3 linked regions of the Drosophila melanogaster genome follow. The protein of the gene in region 1 interacts with the protein of each later gene in a pairwise test. Each region holds a gene or a part of one and is shown on either strand. Other genes may lie near its edges.

Region 1 (4,221 bases):
CTCCAGTTCCTGGTTGGCTTCACCAAAAGCGAAGAGCAGCACACAGCCCAGCAGAAGCAATGCTTTTCCAATCATTTTGCCCGGGCAACTGTTTCAGTACAACTGAGGGAGGGATTTTGACCAGCTTCATTATCGGAAGAAGTATGGCTCGTAAAACACTATCGAAGATACCACACTTGGTTTTTCTTAAGTGGCGCAGGTTGATTAGGCTTATCCGGCTTATCGCCAATATTACGCTATATATAAACCACCACGGGGCAATGTTTTTCGAGAGAAAATTTAAATTTCTATTTGGCTTTTTATGAATGGTCGAACTGATAACGATTAAAGATAACTATGCTCATAAATATTAGGTAAAAGTTGATGTAAGTAATTAATATTTTCAAGTCGACACCAGACCACAGTTAATAGTGCATTTGACTTTATTACATTCTTTCTAGTTTATCGCACACGACTCAATCTGCGTAAAGAGGTCATCGAAATCCATCTTCAGATGATGGTAGAAGAGGCAACTTGGTGTGTCCAGGTCTTCCAAGGACATCTCCAGCACAATTGCATCGCACAGCTCCAGACTGCTGATCATCCGCTGATTGATCCTCCCGATTCCAGCGACAGTGCATAATAAAACTCCGGCGTGATTGAAACCAGACTGCTTAAGCTGCCAGATTCTGCAGGTGTTTGACAACTCACTGATCTCCCGCGAAGCCTTACTCAGAAAATTAGCCTCCAGCACGATTTCCTCCTGAAAATGATCCATGATGTGGTCCAGAGAATTCCTGCAGATACTGTACTTGTCCACCAGCTCTCGATTGAAGTGTGCCACCTGGAGTTCGTACTTCTTTGAGCATGCCCGCCACTCATCGCTGTACTGGCTTCCAAAAAACATCTCCAAGCGTCCACTAACCACTTGCTGATGGTCATCCAGTGTGTCCTTGGCTTCTTGAAGATACTCCAACTTCTGATCGAGGGCCTGTTGGGTGACGTTCCAGATCCTGGCTGCACTGGAGCTTTGGCTGGCTATAAGCTGCTTTGTGGACTCATAGAGTGGTCCATTTTGTCCCCAAATTCTTTGAAAGTGGCCATGCACCTGTAAGATCTTTTCTTTAATATTATACTTTACACAAATAATGCTATTTCATACACAAAGAAGCGACTGAAGTAAAAGCAGTGACACCCGTACTGTTGTCATCTTGAAACTAAATCGAATTGATTCCCGAAAAATTGAAGATACCATACCTTTTATTTATAGATCGCCAAAGGTTGCCTTAATTAACTAAGACTAAGAATTAAATTCTTTTTTGGGAAAGAGTTTTAACGCTTTAACAAAAATTGTTATTGTTTATAAAGAAAATATTGGGATACCGAAAAATTTAACAGCGTAAGTTGCTAAAAATACCCATGTCATATGTGATCAATATGAAACTTTAGGGTATTTAAGTTCCGAACAAAACTTAAATTAAGTTCTGAATTAGACAAATGGCTCATTTGTGTCTTATAATGTTTATAAGAAAGATTCTTATCGCATGATGACTGTGTAACGACTATATGCTTCAAGTTAGTCATCAACCTCAGCTTTCTTTAGCAAACTTGAACTGTAAATATCTCCCCTTTTACAAATAAAAGTATAATTGATCCCTCCATTATTCAACGAAGGTGAGAAATTTACAAAAAGAAATTACGAAAATTTACGAAAAATACGATGACCAAATAGAATACTTTGAATAGTATACCAAGTTCATGTACTAAAACATCATCTCAGTTCATCAAGTTAATGCTCAAATTGTGTTTCGTAGTGATTGCTATGAGACACACTCTTATCGTGACACTGGATCTCTTGACATATATAAGAAGTCAAGTGTAGGGCCAGTCGCACTAGGAAATATAACAGAAAGATGATGAGTCAAACTCTGGGAGTACTTGCTCTGCTTTTGCTGACTTTGGCAGTGAGTTAATAGTAACTTTCCATTTATAGTACTTTTCAAATTCATATGCTCCTTTATTTCAGGACTGCCAAGAAGTCGGCTATGAAACAAAGATGGAGACAGAGACTACAAACTATGGACCTGTTACCATGGTTGTGGACAATCTGGCAGAGATTGCCGTAAGTGTCAGCGACGACACCTCCATTCAGTTGGAGGAGAAAATAAATCGCACTCGGCAAAATATTGCCGGTAACATTGAGGTCCTGACCGCCAATGCTATGGCCGAACTAAGTGATGTGATCTATGAGACAAACCAGTTAGTGGTGTCCAATCCCGATTGCAACCCAGCCTGGAGCCTGGATGAGCTCAATGAAAATGTGACCCATCAGCTGGGTGGGTGTACGGAAGACTTGGGAAGCCTTTTGGAAGACTTCCGTCTGGAGAGTCAACTGGCTTTGGCCAGAGTACAGGAATTCGTACAGCAGATTGCCCACTTGCCGGCCAAGTGCCAATTGCTGGGGGCTTCCCCGCTTAATCCTCTAGCTTCAGCTGGCGGAAGTGTCTGTTTCATTAACGCGATGGCGGAAATCAATCTGGGGATGGCCCAATCCATGCACAATGCATCCCTAATCCTGGTGCAGACCCACCAGACCGCCGAGGATCAAGTGGTGCAGGCTCAGCTGTGCAGTGCCATGGTGGTGCAGCACATCGGCGACTATCTGCGCGAGGAGCAGGATCAGTGCCGGCAATCATAGTGGACCGACCCTTCCCGTAAGCAATAGTCCTAAGAGAGAACCCAGGCAAAAACAGCCAATGGCAAATTTATGCACCCGCAAGATGACAGGGGCCGAGGACTCGCCACATCCTGTTCACTTATTGCTTATGCATGACATTTATTTGACAAGTTTTTGATTGATTTTACAGCTGCTGCAGTCGATCTGGTACAGCTATCAGCATATTTGCAGGCACAGTGAAGCCTTTTTAAAGTCTGGCTTGGAATTGAAATAAAATCAATTTCAAATCACTATGTTCTTATAAAACGCTAAGAGGCGTGTGTTAAACCAAGGAATTTACACATTTTAAAATGATCAATAAATAGTGAAGTAAATTACTACTTAGTATCAAGATCTCATTTCAGTTTGATTCGACTTAGAGAGGTTGCTCTGTAATTGCATATATATACATATGTACATATGTATATTGGGCAACTTTGTGGCTAATCGCAAGTTCACTTTTCAAAGTCGCATGCATACTAATTGGCCATTGTTCGGCTAAACTGACCAATTGCCCAATGGACTTGCCCACGACACGTGGCAGCCACACGATATAAGATATAGTAGCATACGGATCCGATCCAAATGGGCGACAGCTGGCCCTAGAAAGAGATAGAGACGGAGATCGAGATCGAGATCAGCCAGTTTTTTTCCTCTTCCTCTCGCTTCCGCAGTAAGCAAAATTATTTTGACCTGCCTACCGCACACTGAGCGAATATCCGAAGCGAGTATCTGTGCATCCGTGAGATACACCAAAGCATCGCATCACACATCTCTCTCGTCGTTCACAGTGCAGCAACGAAATTTCTACGACTCTTTATTTCGGCTCTTGCCGCAATTTCACTAAGAGTCTCTGAATTTTATCTTATTTTTACTGCTTGTAACAGTTGTTGCCCTGCTGATGATCGCCTTGGTAGTGTAGCTGCACAAATTCCGCCTACTCCAACATCTGTTCAGCTCCTCCAGACATCTGACGGATTTTGATGACGTAGATCGCGCGACTCTTGTCTATTGAAAGCCGAGCTCTGAGCAAAACAATCTTTTTACATCTGGCACATCGAAAAGGCTAGTCACTGACTATTAAATTATAAGCTGAAATGGTTTTTACTATAGATTTTAAAATAAAATCATTCAGTGCGCCAACAATTTATTTATGTTGCAGGCAAAATTCTGTGTTATAGCATTAATCATCGAGAAATATAGTTTAAAAAATATTTCTATTAATGCCTAATCAACGATGGTCATTCCCATACGATCAGTGATATAGGACTTGACTGCTTCGAGTGCAACCTCTTGCACATGCCGGTTATTTAGTATTAGTCTTGCGACATCTCGAACGCGTACATTTCTAACTTCGGATATGGCCCTGATCACGTGCTGCTCCAGTTCTCGACGCTGACTCTCCGTCAAATCGTTCAAAATGACCTCACTTAGAGATTTGAAATTTCCTGGAATTAAAAGACTGATAAGAATGATAGTCACCATGTAACGCTAGACACTCTTGCCCTCCGTAAGTCCGTAGGCGG
Region 2 (5,078 bases), on another chromosome or scaffold:
TCTTTGGATATTCCCTGAATGTTTCCTGGTACCACTTGTGGGTTAGCAGAGCATTGATCGTTTGATTGCTGGCCACCCAGAGGAAGATCAATCGCCAAATCCTAACTGGCATGTAGAGATCGGCGATGCAGAAGTACATGACCACCTCGAGGAACATGTGCGGCGACGAAAGCAGATTGAAAAGCCCACCCTTGGGCAGAAGGTGCTTTTCCGTTTTGACACTTCCCGTCCGCGGATCCTTCCGCAGGTTAACTAATATCATGTTACTGGCATACTGCTGCTGCCAGGCGAGAAAGAAGACGCCGAGGTAGAGTATTTGCTGGCTTGTCAGCTTGTCGAGGCTGAACTCCATGGGCTTGGAGCCGCGCACAAAGCCGGAGGTATTGGATAGTAAAGCTATAACGGCTCCAAAGTAGTGCACATAGCCCACGGCATAGTGCGACAGATTGATTTTGCTCTTCTTGGAGAAGATTTGCACAAAATTGGTCTCGTAAAAACGCCGGGTGCACTGCAACGTGAGCATAAATGCGCCCACACAGGCAGTCGTTGAGTCGATCTCCACCTTCCGGTGACTACGTCCGCCGCCCATGATGTCCAGGAATTGGAGTACATATTCGGGCGCCTCCTTTTGCTCCCGAACGGTTGAAACGAGCACATAAAATGCCAGCCAGCTCCAGAACAGGGCAAATGTGTAGAAGTGCTTGAACCAGGACTTCGGAACCTCCAGCCAGGCCACCAAAGGATCCGTTTCACCCTTGAAACTGTGCTTGCCATACCGAAAGGACTGGCGTATGCTATTGGGCAGGTACTTCTCCACGAAAGTCATCAGTCCGCCAAAGAACACGATCGTGGCGATGAAGGTGCCGAACATCATTTGCAGCAGGTTGATTTTGTACCGGTCAAGTAGATTTTCGAGGACCTCAAGGATCCCATTTTCGGGTGGCGCCATTGCGAAATGATTCGGCACTATGCAGCCCGCAAAAACTGTAAAAACTTTCTCCGAAAAACGAAAACTTGCGGAACATTCATTCTAGAGCTGGAAATAAGAACGATTTTACAACCGATACATCGATACGTTGGCTCAAACTGAAATATCGATTTTATGCATAAAAACTGGTTTCAATTGAATTTAAAATTAGGCGCGTAAAGAATTTAGTACTTCCTTTTTATAAAAGAAAAGTGTTTGAATTCGACTTTAGCAGAGATGAGTAGGTCATAAAATAGTTAAAACGAAAGACTTCTAAAATATTATGCTTTATTTGATTGCCTTTATTCTTAAATGGCAAACTAATTGGCTAGTTTCATGCTTGCATATCTATATAAAATGATAATTACGATATGGTTTGTCTAGTTCGGCAGGTGTGAGTATTTATGCAATTGATATAACGCTCCTCCTCGATATTGCTTATTGAAATTGTATGCGCTCGAATCCAACACTCCTCAGCAGTAGAGCACTCGGGGAGATGTTTGTCAAATGTCCACTCCATTTCGACCCAAAGTACCGCCCTTATATGGCGGTGGCTTGGGACGAGCATAAATGCTGGAGTTTCCGCAGTCCAACTGGTAAAAGCTGTTGTTGGGACTACAATAGATAAATAGATATTTGAATATGAGAGTTCTGAATATGAATAGCTAGACAGCTCCACCTCTGAGATCTCATGCTAGTGTTGTCCAGTAGAAAATTGGGATCCTTGAGGCTTTTCAATGTTGTTATGGGCTGATTGGATTTGCTATCCGAACACTGAACCATCTGCACAGTGGATGCCATGGGATAATCCGAATTGGAAGAGCTGTAAGCGATACCAATCATATACAATCACTGCTTTCAATGAGCAAATAGGAAAATAAGAAGTGAAATCACCTCTCAGAACCATCATCCGCACCAGAATCGCTTGACGCGCTTTGCGGCGCACAGGACTCTTCGCAGATGTGGAAAATGTTGGCAAAGAAAAACTCAGAATGCGGATCGTAACTGAAGTAAACGAAAGATAAAAACAATTAAAGAAAATATAAAATGAAGAAATCAATTTCGTAATTTCCCAGTTGGGAAACTCACAACTTCTCGTGCTGGAAACACAAAACAGCTGATAGCATTCCGATTAAAATGGCAAAAATCATGCCCGGAATGGCAAAGGCAAAGGCGAATTCATCGATGTAATTGCGTTCGGGCACATCCTCCCTGGCGATTCCCATCCAGCGATCCTCTTGCCTCTGATTCAGATCATCGGGCATCTGCTGCTCGTTCTGCTTGCCACTGTGGAAGAGGATTTCCGTTGGTGATTCCATGCCCACCATTCGAAAGGCGCACCAGTCCAGTTTGAAGCCAACATTCTCAAAGATTTTCTGCACGGATGTGCGTTTGTAGGTGCAAGATGGCAACTTGTACAGTGGTCTCACTTCCTCCTGGAGTTCCTGCAGCCGCGGTGAGAACTGGGCAAAGCTGCCCACGTGGACAATGACTCTGCAATGAAATATGAAATGAATATAATAAGATAAGAGATTGTTATGGATAACTAAATTATAACTAGATTACCCCTCGCGCTGCTGCGGTCGCAGTGGAAGTCGTCCGCCCATATTCACAGCTGACTCCATGAAGACCACACTCAAGTCCTCCTTGCTATTTGGCCAAAGATCGTTGCGGAATATATTTCGTAGGTTCTCCCTTCTGCCGGGATCCATTAGGTGCACCCAATTCAGATTGTTTATTTTCATCTGCACGACATTGGGTGTGGGAAACTTGTGGGCGACAAACATTGTGACCACAACGCGTCGCGTTTCGTAATTCTGGCGATTAAGGGCGACCACATCCAGACTTAGATCCTTGCCAGCCGACGATGCTGGAGGAGTTCCGTAGAGGAAGCCGGCATGGTATTCATGGCTATACATATATCGCATCCAACTGGGCAAATCGGGATAATTCTTCAGCGAGGGTCTGTAGCGAAATTGCTGGCTGATCACCTGGTGTGTCCAGTTAAAGAGTTGCGGTTCGATTTTGTAGGTGAAGAGTTCTCCAACATTTGCCTGCAACTTTAGACCCTGAACTTCGTTGCAGATTAAAGCTAATACGACCACTATTAAGTTTAAAAACTTCATTTTGTATTTTATGTAGTTTTTTTTTTACGATTCACAAGCACATTTTAATTGACTATAAACAAATTGTTATTCCGCCCAGCGCAGAGGCGATGAAAAATTCCAATGGTGTGTATCTGAATGGGAGAGGACTACGTATATTCTCAGAACTTGTTGTTTTTGAATTTCAAAGAGCGCGCATGCGTGTTTCGATCCTTAAGCAGAGATATTTGTGACTAAGGTCAGTTTTTAATAGTATTTATAGGTTAGAATTGACTAAAATATATAGAGTAACTTATGTTAACATAAAAAAATCAATCAGAAAATGTGTTTTATAAAGTCTTGTACCATGAGTCCTATATCATATCGTAGTTTTTGATTTATTATTTAAAACTACATACTTAACCTATATCTACTTAATATTCGCAAGCATAAGAAAGTTTATAACCATTTTAAATTGCCTTTTGTTATATATTTTATTTTAATTCAAAATCATAGAATTCTTACTGCGATAGACCATTAATCGATATCTGCGGTGACTGTGAATGAGTCACTGTTTTGCGGAGAAGTGTCATCCCTAAATTGAGTTGACAACCCTAATCAGCTGCGGCATTTCGGTCTAAAATTCTTGGAATTAAATACGTGGCTCTGTTTATCTCGCACAAATTGGAGAAGTAATGTCTGCTGGCAGGTAGCAGGCGCACCTGTTCATACAAACTAGTTGCTAAAAAAAGCCCTACAATGTGGACCTGCCTCTGCCAGCTCTGTTTCTATCTACTCTCGACGCTTGCAGTCGCTGCGCTGTCGGTCAGATCTTGAATACATTCGCCTATCTTTCTTATTTTTACTGATAATCCATCGTTTAGATTGCGGCTCTGGTGCTCTACAAGACGAAGCCCTATCCCAACATCAAGCGGCACAAGGATGAGGAGACCTTCCTGGACCCGCACACCATTAAAACAGTGACTTTTCCCAGTCTCGAGGACTCGCCAAGTTTGGAGCTCAGTGTCATCGTACCAGCTTACAATGAGGAGCAGCGCTGTATGTTGCTTATTTGTTTTTGTTTTGGTGAATCACAGTCAACATTTTATCTATGCCCATTTGTGATTGATTGTCTGGCACCCGAATTTATCTACAGAAACTTCATTACACTAACATGTTACTTTAAGTTACTTTCCCCAAAAGCTATTCGATTTTCTTGTTCTCATTTGTGTGTGTTTATACTCGTTTAGTGCCTTCTATGCTGGACGAGTGCTTGGCCTTTCTGGAACAGAAATCTGCTGGCACTCCCAATTTCACATACGAGGTCATCGTGGTCAGTGACGGCAGTCAGGATGCCACCGTATCCGTCGCCTTGGGTTACTCGAAAAAGCACGGAGCAGAAAAGGTACGCGTGCTGGAACTCATCGAAAATCGTGGGAAAGGAGGTGCCGTTCGCATGGGTATGCTAAGTGCACGGGGTCGTAATCTGCTCTTCGCTGATGCGGATGGAGCCACCAAGTTTCCCGACTACGATAAACTGGAGGTGGCCCTCAAGCAATTAGCTCCCGAATGGCGAGACGATGGCATTGCCATTGGATCGAGAGCACATCTGGAGAACGATGCGATTGCAACAAGGAGTTTCTTCAGGTAAGATAAAATCCTACATTTATTAGCTGACCAAATACTGATCTGCGTTGCCACAGAACAATTTTGATGCACGGCTTTCATTTCCTCGTCTGGCTGTTTGCCGTGCGCTCCATTCGCGATACCCAGTGTGGCTTCAAGCTGTTCACCCGAACGACGGCCAGGAAACTCTTCACCAGTCTGCATGTGGAGCGCTGGGCCTTTGATGTTGAGCTGCTGTACCTCGCTGAGAATTTGAAGCTACCAATGTCCGAGGTTGCCGTTCGATGGACGGAGATCGATGGTTCGAAACTGACACCATTTTGGTCGTGGCTGCAAATGGGCAGGGATTTGTTCATGATCTGGGTGCGATATTTGGTGGGCGCCTGGCGGATTGCCTCCAT
Region 3 (4,946 bases), on another chromosome or scaffold:
AATAACTTTTTTTCTTCCTCTTTTACCTTTATTTATAATCATATTCTTAACTGACCTTTTTCCAGTTAAATATAAGGGGTAAACAATTTATTAAATATATTTCATTTTAAATCAAGGTAAACAATTGCTACTCATTAATATCATACTGCTTTTGGCAAGACAAATAAGAACCCTATATAGTTCACACTTCATCTAAAATTCAGTGATGCTATTTAGCTGACCGCAGGTGTGCCTGTGACCACGGGTGAGTTACAATAATGTGGGTGATGTCTCTGCATATGTATGCATTTAACTTTATGTAGCTTTCAGCGGAATATCAATGCGAGAACAAATGTACATTCGAACCTTACGCAAACGCTTAATGCGAAAGTGATCCAAGGAAATTTATGGAGTCCAAATTGGTTATAATTTAGCAGAACTGAATCCGGACTTAAGCTTCCCACACAGAAACTAAGAGAAGAAGGCTCCCAAAATGGCAAGAACTTAAAAAGTTTGCTTGCAAAATAAGAAAACTTTGAAATAGATAAAATTTAAAGCTAAATTGTTTTTTTGAAATAAAAACATATTGCAGCATATGCATAAAAACAATACATTTTTTCAATAATTTTCCAGTTAAAAAAAAACTATTTTCTCTTTGCTCAAACTCATAGTAGCATAATGCATTTACTAAGTTTTTCATAGAAGTAGAATTCTTCAATGGAATTTACTAAGACAAACCCAACTTGGCAACTTATTGAAACTGCGCTTGTGCATCATTAATTTTGTATTTTGAAGATTGGGTGGCTATTAATTGGGTCGTTTGTTGCTATGCTGATATGGAGCAATAAATCTTCATTTTGGTTTTATATATAATTACACATTAGCTTAGTTTCCTGCACTTGGGTCAACTCTCTTCGCCCACATGAAGTTGAAAGCCCCAAAATCTCAGACAATAGTGCATCGAGTAACTTGATCTACTACATCCAGTTTGAATAGAAGCACTGATCTCTTAGAAAAGGCTATACTCCATAGAAAGCCTTTTAAACTCCGTCGACCGCAAAGATGCAATTAACCCTAAGCTTCATTGTGCAATAAATCTTAATTAATCTTAATTTCTCTTTGTGGAATTAAGTTAACGGAATTCAATTAAAAGCCGCTGTGCAACGGAAAGTGCACTAATTTCGAGCACAGGAGTGATTTTTTAATTAATGGACCAATCATTCATTCATTCATTATTCCACTCTGCAAAGTAATTTATTTGTTTAATTCTTGGTATGCCACCCATTGAGACCAGGAAAAACGGATTAAGAACATAATCCGAAACTGGTTAAAGTTATAAGTAAACAACTTAACTAATATTTAGTTCCTAAATATAACATACATACATTTTATATTGCTATAACTTCACAAGTGCCCCTTCTACATATTTCACAATTTGTAGGCGGTCATAAAAATTGACATAATGGCAGGGGCGGATTCGTAGTAAAATATTGGGGGAAGTGTTTGAACTATGAAGTAACTGCTTGAGTAATAAAATTCATTTAATGATTTTGTGTTGATATTACGTTAATTACTTAATGTTTGGGGGAAAGAACACTTTCAATTACCCGATTATTTATGCCGTACATGAGTAACTTTAAACGTTCTATGTGTTTTATTAATAACAATATAAACTATTAATATGAACTAAGTGATATATCTATTTCTCACTAACCGGAAGTCTTTTTAACATTGGCTCATGTAGGTTGTAGTGCTTTACCATTTTCTGTAATTTAAATCATATCAATTATAATGCTTTAAACAATAATTGAAATACGAACCTCACAAAAGGTAACATCGATGGAACAAATAGCCTGGGACGGTGCGTTTCCTTCGACCGATTTGGAATTCACAACGCGAACCAATGGCAAACCATCCTCGCCATTTTCGATGGAAATATAGTTCTCCTTGACAAGAAACGACAGTTGCAAAGCGTTCTGAACGGTGTCCATAAAATTGTTTGGATTGCAAATCAGTTTAAAGTACGGAATCGGCTCTTGATTGCCATCTCGATATATTTGTCTTATTTGCTTCAGCATGTGGGTTACGGACGCTGCTCCTTCGTCCTTGCGTTCCAATTGGTCACTCTTTTCTGGACGCTTCTCATCTACCTACAAGATCCATAATAATATGAACAAATATTACTGTGAGAAATTGTTTAACAAATGACTTACTTGAGATTTCGTTTTGCGAGGAGCACGTTGCTTTTGAACCACCACCTTTGGAGTAACATCTATGAAGGGCAGCATGCTATCATTGGTGAAGAGTGGTCTTCCGAACTGAATAGCCAATGAACAAAGAGCATCCCAATCTTCTTCGCTCTCTTTGAAAACCAAATCGTTCTGTAATAGGATCAAACATTACGATCAGGCATAAATAAAGTACACAGTGCACCTACGATCGCCGTGGCCACCATTCGATCCGTGACGTTGGTGTTATGTTGGATAGCTTTTCCCACAACTTCGAAATTGCGACGCAGTAGCTCCGTGTCCAGGACAAGTTCCGTGGAGTTTGTACGGCGGTCTTCATGTCCCTTGCTGATATCGTTGGCTGTCTGAATGATTTCCTCTATGGCCGTGATAGACTCTCCGATGGTGTTGTTTTCGATTTGTTGCTCTGCAATTCATATAGTTATTTCAGATATTAGTAATTTATGATTTAACTTACCTATCTCAATATTCTTTTCGATCAGATTTTGCAGACGCAGTATGCGAGCATCTTGGTCATCCATTTGCGATTGGCTTTCAGACGAATCCATATTATTGTTAAATAAATACTAAACAAAGAAGAGCGAAGTTAATCCAATTGTGAATTCACATAAACAAATTTCTTTGAAAATGATTTCTGCAAATCTGTAAGCAGCTGTATATCGATAATTTGTTTGGTCAAGATATCACCAACTTTTTGACTAACTGGAACGGGTGATCGAAACTATATTGTTTTCACACTACCGCTAACTCTCTATCGATATCGTGCAAAAGCTTTTTTATTTATATTTTGAACATTATGCTGTTTAATTTATTAATAATTACAATTTATCCATTTACAATATAAATCTCAATTGCAGATCCACATTTATTATCACTTATCTGGTTTTTAGACAATGGGAACTGGGTTCTAACATCTAATCAATTACAATGACAATGCCAACTAATAAGTAACTTAATAATCTAAAGACCATTCATTCTCGGCAATAAAAGAGTCAACCACTTCCTTCATTGAAAAATTTGGTATTAGTTGATCCTGAGTGAGCTTAACGCGTGTCACAGGATCGAAATGTCCAACCCGCTGCAAGTGTTCTTCTATATCTTTTCGTTCATACGTAATTCCAGATGGAGTTATCACAGGGTCTGTTAATATTTCAAAACTTATTTTGCCACATAGAAAATCGGGAACTTCACGTTTCTGTAATATGTAAATAACAATATTAGAACAATATTTTTAATATTGGTTATTTTTCCTTTAGTTTCTTACCTTTCGACGTTCGTCAACCTTAGAAAATATATTGTTAAGTTCCTTAATATGGTCATCCTAAAAAGTAAAATTAGATTGTCAACTCCGCTAAATATTCTGGTTAAAGTCCAACTTACGCATTCTTGCTCAATTTCCTGTTGCTTGTCTTTCAGCTGCTCATCGTGTACATTTCCATTCAGCTTTAAATTGGCCAAACGGCTTTCCATGTCCCCTTTTATTAGACTGAAACATAAATATTTAGGTTTTGCACAAATTTCGCTTTTTTTAATATATATTCTATCACATGAGGACAACAATTGCCTCGATATCGTCGTGCGGTGACTAAATTTAGTTTGCAAAAGGCATCTAGAGAATTCGAATAACATCTTACCCATTTAAATAGCTTTGCAGCTCGATTTCCTGCTGTATTCGCTTCTCCTCCATAACATTCCAGCGCTTTTTGCGAGCTAGTCGCAACTGTAGTGTAATATCATCCCCAAAGTTTTGCTTCTGCTCCTTGGACAGATCGTATGCTATAAGTTTCATATATGGTTAGTTAGTGTAGAGAACATCAAAGGTCAGGTATTATCTAACCCCGTTGAAGGTGCTTTATAGCCTCGTCAAAGTTGTCGATTTCCATGAGTCCTTGGCCCAGGAAGAAGTGACCCTTCAACAGATTCCCATCGATGTCGAGGGCGCGCCGACTATCCTGGCAGCACAGTTCCCATCTCTTCAGTTTCAGGTTGCAGAGGGCTCGGTTTGTGAAGTATGTGGCGTTTGTGGGGTTCTTTATCTACATATTATATGGAGCATAGTGCACATGTAAACAACAAAATACACATCACAATAACAAAAATATGTGAGACACCTACGATGGCCTTTGAGTAGCAATTTATTGCGTCGTCATATTTTCGGGCTGCAAACAAGCAGTTTCCCTGCTCCTTTAATTGCAGATCTGATAAATTGGTCGTGGAATAGATGTGCTTGGTCGTCATCCTGACGAATCTTCTGCGCCTGGTCCCAAATTTGATTTTCCACCGATGAAAAGTGAGTGTGTGTCCAACAACACCGAAGCACTCGTAAATTTGTTTCCTCTGCAAGAATTGGGGAACTGCTGCACGAACTTAACAGTTAACAAAGTATTAAGTGGGAAACGGTAGTGACTTTTGAACGCTCATAACACCAAAAAGATCTTGAGCTATTCGCCTGTATTTAATTAAACATAAAACAATTTTCAGCTACGTTAATCGATGTGTTTCTAGAGTTGCCAAGACTCACAAGCTTAAATTAAAGCTGCACATTCATCGATTGCACTATCACCGCCCAAACGATACTTTTGCCACACTATCGTTTGCACATTTCAAAAACAACAGTGCCATTTTCGAGTTTCTCGACTATCAGATATCTCTTACTGAACTAGTGGGTCTAATAGAAGAATCTTTCGCTATTCGTCACTAGCGCAAGTAACTCGGATA

Evidence for each region. Proteins that work in one complex are often made in the same cells at the same time.
Region 2: the proteins of CG11672 (region 1) and Scgalpha interact in a two-hybrid assay, tested with the Drosophila melanogaster proteins (one large-scale study listed by BioGRID).
Region 3: the proteins of CG11672 (region 1) and Nse4 interact in a two-hybrid assay, tested with the Drosophila melanogaster proteins (one large-scale study listed by BioGRID).

Annotation. Positions count from the first base shown.
Region 1 is NT_033777.3:8,288,220-8,292,440, reverse strand, and holds CG11672 (uncharacterized protein), read left to right. Parts: upstream 1-1,862; 5' UTR 1,863-1,892; coding exon 1,893-1,943; intron 1,944-2,005; coding exon 2,006-2,677; 3' UTR 2,678-3,046; downstream 3,047-4,221. Other genes in the region: CG31463 (uncharacterized protein), read right to left, coding at 1-75; CG31464 (uncharacterized protein), read right to left, coding at 437-1,087, 1,142-1,189; nazo, read right to left, coding at 3,923-4,143, 4,201-4,221.
Region 2 is NT_033779.5:8,301,556-8,306,633, reverse strand, and holds Scgalpha (sarcoglycan alpha), read right to left. Parts: upstream 3,206-5,078; 5' UTR 3,094-3,205; coding exon 2,534-3,093; intron 2,462-2,533; coding exon 2,057-2,461; intron 1,973-2,056; coding exon 1,862-1,972; intron 1,791-1,861; coding exon 1,647-1,790; intron 1,583-1,646; coding exon 1,471-1,582; coding exon of another isoform or gene 1,441-1,470; 3' UTR 1,258-1,440; downstream 1-1,257. Other genes in the region: CG7840 (uncharacterized protein), read right to left, coding at 1-949; wol (wollknaeuel), read left to right, coding at 3,811-3,876, 3,936-4,110, 4,302-4,698, 4,755-5,078.
Region 3 is NT_033779.5:10,437,359-10,442,304, reverse strand, and holds Nse4 (Non-SMC element 4), read right to left. Parts: upstream 2,866-4,946; 5' UTR 2,777-2,865; coding exon 2,686-2,776; intron 2,635-2,685; coding exon 2,417-2,634; intron 2,361-2,416; coding exon 2,193-2,360; intron 2,130-2,192; coding exon 1,800-2,129; intron 1,745-1,799; coding exon 1,679-1,744; 3' UTR 1,258-1,678; downstream 1-1,257. Other genes in the region: STUB1 (STIP1 homology and U-box containing protein 1), read right to left, coding at 3,181-3,423, 3,493-3,549, 3,609-3,714, 3,863-4,004, 4,066-4,264, 4,344-4,466.